Canis lupus familiaris: one gene and its partner. The protein of the gene in region 1 binds, or shares a complex with, the protein of each later gene. Links are inferred from orthologs where the notes say so. Each region holds a gene or a part of one and is shown on either strand. Other genes may lie near its edges.

Evidence for each region. Proteins that work in one complex are often made in the same cells at the same time.
Region 2: the proteins of WNK4 (region 1) and KLHL2 are in contact, whole or in part, in a crystal structure (PDB 4CHB), measured with the Homo sapiens proteins. The link is inferred for Canis lupus familiaris from reciprocal best matches to the Homo sapiens genes WNK4 and KLHL2. Residues at the interface, in NP_115763.2 of Homo sapiens: Glu557, Pro558, Glu559, Glu560, Pro561, Glu562, Ala563, Asp564, Gln565; in NP_009177.3 of Homo sapiens: Arg345, Phe361, Gly363, Ser364, Leu365, Arg366, Thr392, Phe408, Gly410, Ser411, Thr412, Gly413, Ser438, Ser439, Tyr455, Ser487, His504, Arg534, Tyr583.

What each region holds. Positions count from the first base shown.
Region 1 is NC_049230.1:20,099,834-20,103,473, reverse strand, and holds part of WNK4 (serine/threonine-protein kinase WNK4), read left to right. Parts: intron 1-3,231; coding exon 3,232-3,369; intron 3,370-3,640. UniProt on the Homo sapiens protein: Serine/threonine-protein kinase component of the WNK4-SPAK/OSR1 kinase cascade, which acts as a key regulator of ion transport in the distal nephron and blood pressure.
Region 2 is NC_049236.1:61,745,868-61,749,515, forward strand, and holds part of KLHL2 (kelch-like protein 2), read left to right. Parts: intron 1-372; coding exon 373-482; intron 483-1,142; exon of another isoform or gene 1,143-2,352; intron 2,353-3,648. UniProt on the Homo sapiens protein: Substrate-specific adapter of a BCR (BTB-CUL3-RBX1) E3 ubiquitin ligase complex that mediates the ubiquitination of target proteins, such as NPTXR, WNK1, WNK3 and WNK4, leading most often to their proteasomal degradation.

The sequences.
Region 1 (3,640 bases):
GAATGAGAGAAGCATCAGGCTTCAGGAACCCTCTTTAAAGCTTCTTCTTCTCCATCATGTCATTCACCTTGTGTCCAGGACAAAGACAAAATATCACTTGGCTCTTGGGCTTATCATCTTTCCTCTAGCCACACCAGTTTCTGAATGGTCCTCTGAAGAGGCCAGGTGCCTCTCCACTTCTGCCTCCATCTGCTCAGGGGTCTCTTGCTTCTCTACTAGGTTTCAAGCCCACTCAGATCCCACACAGCCAAAGCGACCCCTCCCCCTGACCATTGCCCTGTTTTCTCTCCCCACCATTCCACCATCCACTCCTCTGCAGCAGAATTATCCTGAGACTTGAATCAGCCCTTGCTTTCTGCCCCTACACAATTAATGGCTACCTGTGGTTACAGAGTAGGTCCCAGTTCTGGAGCATGGCCTTTGAAATTCCCCGCACTTCCAGCTCTGCTCTGGTCTTCACCGCTTTGTGAATATGCCATGTCCTTTCATGCCTCAGAGCTATCACTCATGCTGTTCTCTCAGCTCTTCTCTCCAAAAGGACAACATGGAATGGAGGAAAGGGTAGGCTTTCACATAAGATCTGAGTTCAGAGTTCCACTGTTACTCACTAATTTGGTGAACTGGAGCAACTTTTTTAACCCCTGTGAACCTCCGTTGCTTATCAGCAAAATGCAGATCATCATACCCATTTTGCAAAGATGTTCTTTAAAAAAAAAAAAAAAGATTTATTTATTGAGAGAGAGAGAGAGGCAGAGACACAGGCAGAGGGAGAAGCAGACTCCATGCAGGGAGCCCACCTCGGGACTCCATCCCGGGTCTCCAGGATCACACCCTGGGCCACAGGTACATAATTTATGAGAAGTTGTAGATATAGGAGAGATGAAATTATATGAGGAGTACCCACACGTGATAGGTTGCCACGCGGCATGATCCGATGAGAGACAAAATGATTGCTCAGAGTCCCCTATCTTAGAACAAAGAGAGGCCCGAAGAGGATCCACTGTCAAGCACCGCCGAGAAGGGCAGGTGCCGAGGTGAAGCCCTGAGTCCAGGTTGGCTGTCAGTTTTATTTAGTAGAATGTAAAGTATGTGGAAACAAGGGAGGAAAAACAAGAAAGCAATCCTGTGAGGGGCGTCAGGGAACTGTATCTGTGACCATCTGTACAGGTCTAAGGAAGCATTAACCAGGGGGCTTAAGGGGACAGAAGAACCGACCTCAAGAGGCCTGGCTATCTTATCCACCATCATTGCTGTTTTCAGCATGTACTGTTTTCAGTACAGACACATGGCAGGAATAATTGGCTCTTGCCACATGCATAGAGCTGTTGCCATTTATGCATGTCCCTATTCTTTTTTTTTTTTTTAAGATTTTATTTACTCATGAGAATACACTGAGAGGAGAGAGAGAGAGAGAGAGAGAGGCAGAGACACAGGCAGAGGGAGAAGCAGGCTCCATGCAGGGTGCCTGCATTTCCCTATTCTTATTGTTTCTTTGACCTGCTGAGGTCTTTTGCTCTCCCATGATAGGTCTTCAGTGAAGGGTTGCTTTCTTTCTTTCTTTTTTTAAAGATTTTATTTATTTATTCATGAGAGACACAGAGAGAGAGGCAGAGACACAGGCAGAGAGAGATGCAGGCTCCATGCAGGGAGCCCAGTGTGGGACTCAATCCCAGGACCCCAGGATCACGCCCTGAGCTGAAGGGAGGTGCTCAACCACTGAGCCACCTAGGTGTCCCTAGAAGGGTTGCTTTCTTACTCATCCTTCAAGGTTCAGCTCTGTGAAGCCATCCCAGCTTCCCTTATCCTCCTGGGTGACATGATCTGCTCTCTCTCTGGAATGGCATTTTAAAAAATTGTGGCAAAAAATACAGAACACAAAATTTACCGTAACCATTTTTAAATGCAGTTCAGCAGGGTTATGTGTATTCACATTGTTGTGAAACGGGTCTCCAGAACCTCTTCATTTTGCAAATCTGGTGAAACTGTACCATTAAGCGACTCTCCCTTTCTTCTAGCTGGTTTAGTATTTTATCTATACCTTGATCAGAATGCCTTTCTTACCATGCCTTTGCAATATATTATGTATATATGTGTCTCTTCGGCTAGATTTTGGGCTTCTTCAGGACCAGGATTTGTTTTATGCTTCTATGTATTCCTCACCTGGAACAGTGTACCTGGACCTAAAACAATGCCTGGCACATAGTATGTGCTCAAGTGTTTGTGAAATTGAATGATACATTTACTGTCTTTTGTCTTATTTGTACTGTGTGTGTGTGTGTGTGTGTGTGTGTGAGAGAGAGAGAGAGAGAGAGAGCACTTGGATAGTACACTTCATAAGAAGTGCAACTCCCTGCAAGAGCAGGAGTTGTGTCCAAAAGCATATGATGCAATAGTGGAAAGAGCTCAGGCTCTGGCTTTAGACAAATCTGGGTGCAAACCCTGTCATTTTTGGCAGACTGAACTCACTCTTTTTTGAGCAATTGGTTATCTTTTTTTTTTTTTTTAATTTTATTTATTTATTCATGAGACACACAGAGGGAGAGAGAGGCAGAGACACAGGCAGGGAGCCCGCTTCTTTCTCTGCCTGTGTCTCCACTTCTCTCTTTCTGTCTCTCATTAATAAATACATAAAATCTTAAAAACAAAACAAAACACACACACAAAAAAAAAAACGCTGAGCCACCAAGGGAGCCCTGCAATTGGTTATCTTAACTCTAAAATGGGAATGTTAGGGATCCCTGGGTGGCTCAACGGTTTGGCACCTGCCTTTGGCCCAGGGCGTGATCCTGGAGTCCTGGGATCGAGTCCCACGTCGGGCTCCTGGCATGGAGCCTGCTTCTCCCTCCTCCTGTGTCTCCCCCCGCCCCCCCCCCCCCACCATGTGTGTGTGTCTATCATGAAAAAATAAATAAATAAATAAATATTTAAAAAAATAAAATGGGAATGTTAGTACAGATGCTGGAGAGTCATTGTTGGCATTAAATGAGATAAGACATGTAAAACACCTGAGCTATAATGCATACTAGGAATGTTAGCTCCTGTCTTCTAAATTTATTTCTCCTTACACCATATGGTTTCTGGCACACAGTAGATACTTATTGAATACTTGTTTTAGGTTGGTGGTTGGCAGAGCAGTGGTGTAAAGGGTTGGCTTTGAAAGATCAGTGCAGCAGGGAGGGATGAGTGGGGATAACTGAGCCTTCTCTGCCCTTCCTGCTGACCCCTTGCCAGGTATATAACGAGTTCATTCTGCCCTCGGAGCGAGCTGGCTTCCTGAGCCGTATTCGGGAGATTATCCAGCGAGTGGAGACCCTATTGAAGAGAGATACTGGCCCTGTGGAGGCTGCTGAGGACCCCCTGGGCCCCCAGGTCAGACCCCTCAGGTCACTTCCACCTCTCTGCTCCAGATGTCATGATTCACTGCCTTCACCACTCCCCTTGGCTCTAACTCCTTCATCTCTGGGACCCCTAAGACAATGGCTTTACCCCATTTAAGAATCTGATGAAAGCCATGGGCCCTTGTTCTAGAAAATTGTGTTCAACACATACTTTTCTTTTTAACTCATTATTTTGATAGAATTTCAGACTTACAGAAGGAAGTTGCAAGTTGTACTAAGAACTCCTAGATACCCTTTGCCCA
Region 2 (3,648 bases), on another chromosome or scaffold:
TACATTCAGGGGTGTAAAATGTACACCATGTACTTGATTTATGTCATCAATAGGTTTTACGTATTTCAATACTGAAAATCTTATTACCACATAAGGAATACAATGTTAACTCAGAAGCCCCACCATGTGATACAGAGGCGGGCAGCTGTAGGATACCCGGCTCTCCTACCTGTGCCTGTACTTTCTTATTGAAGTAGAGACCACTTCCCCTGAGTAGCTGGTTTGGGTTTTGTTGGTTCTTGCCTGGAGGAAATACAGTTGTTTTTCCTCAGTCTTAGGTTAGATTAAGAAAAACCTCCTCCTTTTGAAGCAGTTTGAAGCTGGATAACACAATGTCGGTGTTAATGGATTTTATTTTTAACCTCCCAACAGAGCAGCATTTTGCAGATGTTGTACTTAGTGAGGAATTTCTCAATCTCGGCATCGAACAAGTGTGCAGCTTAATCTCAAGTGACAAACTTACCATTTCCTCAGAAGAGAAGGTAAGTATGTTTTTCTTTCTGGTATATAGTGACGGAGTACTTTTCCTTTTTTTTTTTTTTTTTAAGATTTTATTTATTTATTCATGAGAGACACAGAGAGGCAGAGACACAGGCAGAGGGAGAAGCAGGCTCCCTGTGGGGAGCCCGATGCAGAACTCGATCCCAGGACCCTGGGATCACACCCTGAACCGAAGCCAGAGGCTCAACCCACTGGGCCACCCAGGCATCCCTACTTTTCCCTTCTTTATTTCACTTTGTTTTGTAACTTTGTAACCCTCTATGTGTAGCAACAGCCAGTGATCTTTGATCTGGAAGTTATTACAGACTCAACTAGTTGACTTGTTGATTGTGCAGATTAGTTTCTTCAGGCCACAGGAAATGCCCTGAATTGCTAGATGTTAGAGTCTTGCACTCAACCCCCACACCAAGAACCAGCACACCTTAAACTGAGCCAAGTCCTTTTGGGTGCTGGGTTGCTTCCCACAGTTAGATGCCTCTAAAAATTATGACCTAAATGCCATATTTCTCAAACCAGAGTAGTTTCACCATTATGTGAGTGGGAAGAAATTATCAGGGATAACAAAGTAATAGCTTGTTCTAGACTGAGCATTCCTTTTTTTTTTTTTTTTTTAAAGATTTTATTTATTTGAGAGAGTGTACAGCAGTGGGGGAGGGGCAGAGGAAGAGGGGAAAGCAGACTCCCAGCTGAGCAGGGAGCCCGATGCGAGCCGGGCCTCCATCCCAGGACACCACAATCGGGACCTGAGCCAGAATGAGGAGTTGGCTGCTTAACCAACTGGGCCACTCAGACACCCCACCTGTACCTTTCATATTGGTGGAGAAAGAATCTTCTGTTAGTGACTTTTATTCTTTGGGTGGGTGTTATATTCAGGAATTGGGGCACACAAGCTTGTGAACACACTGAATTTGGAGAAAGTGAAACTGTTTTTTTCTTTGTGTGCTTTGCATTTAAGGTTGTATGACCTGTAGCTTTATTCCTCAAAGTTATCCATCCTGCCTGGGCATAAAAAGACACATTTACTATTATATTTACCATATGAAAAAAAAGATGTGAAGAGTGGTTGTTAGATATGTCATCTAGTGCTTGAGAAATATAGAGAGGAGGAAAAGACATTGCTTTGCTATTCATATTTAACAGACACGTATTGAGTGCCTAATGTGGACCAGACGCTGTCACAGAGTCACAGCTACGGAAATGTTAACAAAATAGAAATCTTTACTCCATAGGTTAAAGGGACAACCATTGGGATGAATAAATAATTACGGAATGCTGTAGAGGGTATCGTAGGAACATTTCATCATTCCTGGGATGGGGATGCTGTTAGCCTGGCTCAAGTTCTAAAAAAGTATATGAGTTTGCCCGGGAAGTCAGGATGAGTGGGCGTGGGAAGGGCATGCCAGGTAGGGGTAGAGTATGTGAATGTAAAAAGGGTGTGAAAGGAATCATTGCATTAAGTTGGTTCAATATGTTTAGAGTCTAGGATATATATGTTTGACAGAGCGGTAGGAGATAGATGGGAAGATGGCATAAAATGTCTTCTCAGCTGTCTTAAAGAACCTTGACTTCATCCTCGTGATGAAGAAGATTCTTTAAAGGGTTTTAAGTGGTAGGAGAATGCTGTGGTAATACCCACATAATAGAAGTGGCATGAAAGCTGTCCGGATTTCCTACTGCTGCACAACAAGACACCCCAAAGTGTATGTAGTGACACAAAACAATAGCCGCTTTATTATACTCACCATTCTGTGGGCAGAATTCACTCAGGGCACGTTGGGACAGCCTGTCTCTGCTCTGTAGTGTCTGGGCTTCAGCTGGCTTGGCTTGAATGTCCAGAGAGACCAGCAATGTCTAGAGATGACCAACACATTGGGACAGCTTATCTCTGCTCTGTAGCGTCTGGGCTTCAGCTGGGTTGCCGTGAATGTCCAGATTAGCCATACTGGAACTTCAGTCGGTCTGCACATGGTGTCTTGTGGGTCCAGAAAATCCACATTGGCTCCCTTCATTCACTTGTCCAGCTCCTGGACTGCAGTTTGGTTGGTATCTCTTTCCACTTCTGTCCTCTAACCCTCTCCCCTTCCCTGCCCTTCCCTCTTTGGGGCTAGTTTGGGCTCCTCATAGCATGGTGATCTCAAGTAATCAGACTTCTTGCGTGACATCTGTCTTCCCCCAGATGAGCATTGTAAGAGACCCGAATGAAAACTGAAACGCTTCTTATCGACCAAGCTTAGGAAGTCACGCAGCACTTCTGCTGCATTTTTTAAATTTTTTATTTTTTTATTTTATTTTATTTTATTTTATTTTATTTTATTTTATTTTATTTTATTTTATTATTTATTTTATTTTATTTTATTTTATTTTATTTATTTATTTTATATTTTATTTTTTTGGTGACACAGGGCCAACTTAGAGTCCCTGTGGCAGGTTCACTGCATAAGGTGTGGATACTCAGAGATGTGGTTTATTAAGGGACCATTTTGGAGACCAGCCGTCAGTAGTGTGCTGACTGAACCCAAAGTGGGGCAAGGGTCAGATAGGAGGATGTTGAGGTCATACCAGTGAGCAGTAGGGTCTGACCTAGGATGGTGGAGACAGGTGGAGAAGAGAGAGTAGAGCTGAGAAATAGTAGACAAAATTGACAGGATCCTCTCTATTTCTAGCACCCAACACATACAGGTACTTTGTAGATACTTGGTGACTGAATGAATTAAAGAGGCATGTTAATTATAATGTAGATTTTTTTACTTTCATGCTCTATCCCAGCATCAACAGAAATATTTTTTTGTTCCTAATAATCCAACTACCTATTATCAGGCACTTTCCACAAGCCTTTAAAAATTACTGGATTATGTATTCATCAGTCTGGAAGGAAATTATATAGTCACGTACTGTCTTCATATTAGCTCATTAACGTTTTCATAGGTGTATGTTGTTAAGTTGTAATGCCCTTATTTTTTTTGTTTTTATTTTATTTTGTTTTTATTTTATTTTGTTTTTAATCTACTATTCAAAAATAGTAGATTTAATATATTTCATTGTGAGAAAAGAGAGTTCATCTATTCTGCAGACAATTAAGTAATTAACTAATTTTTTCTGCAGACACTTAACTTAGAAGTGTATGGCTAACATTTCTTTTTAAACCTA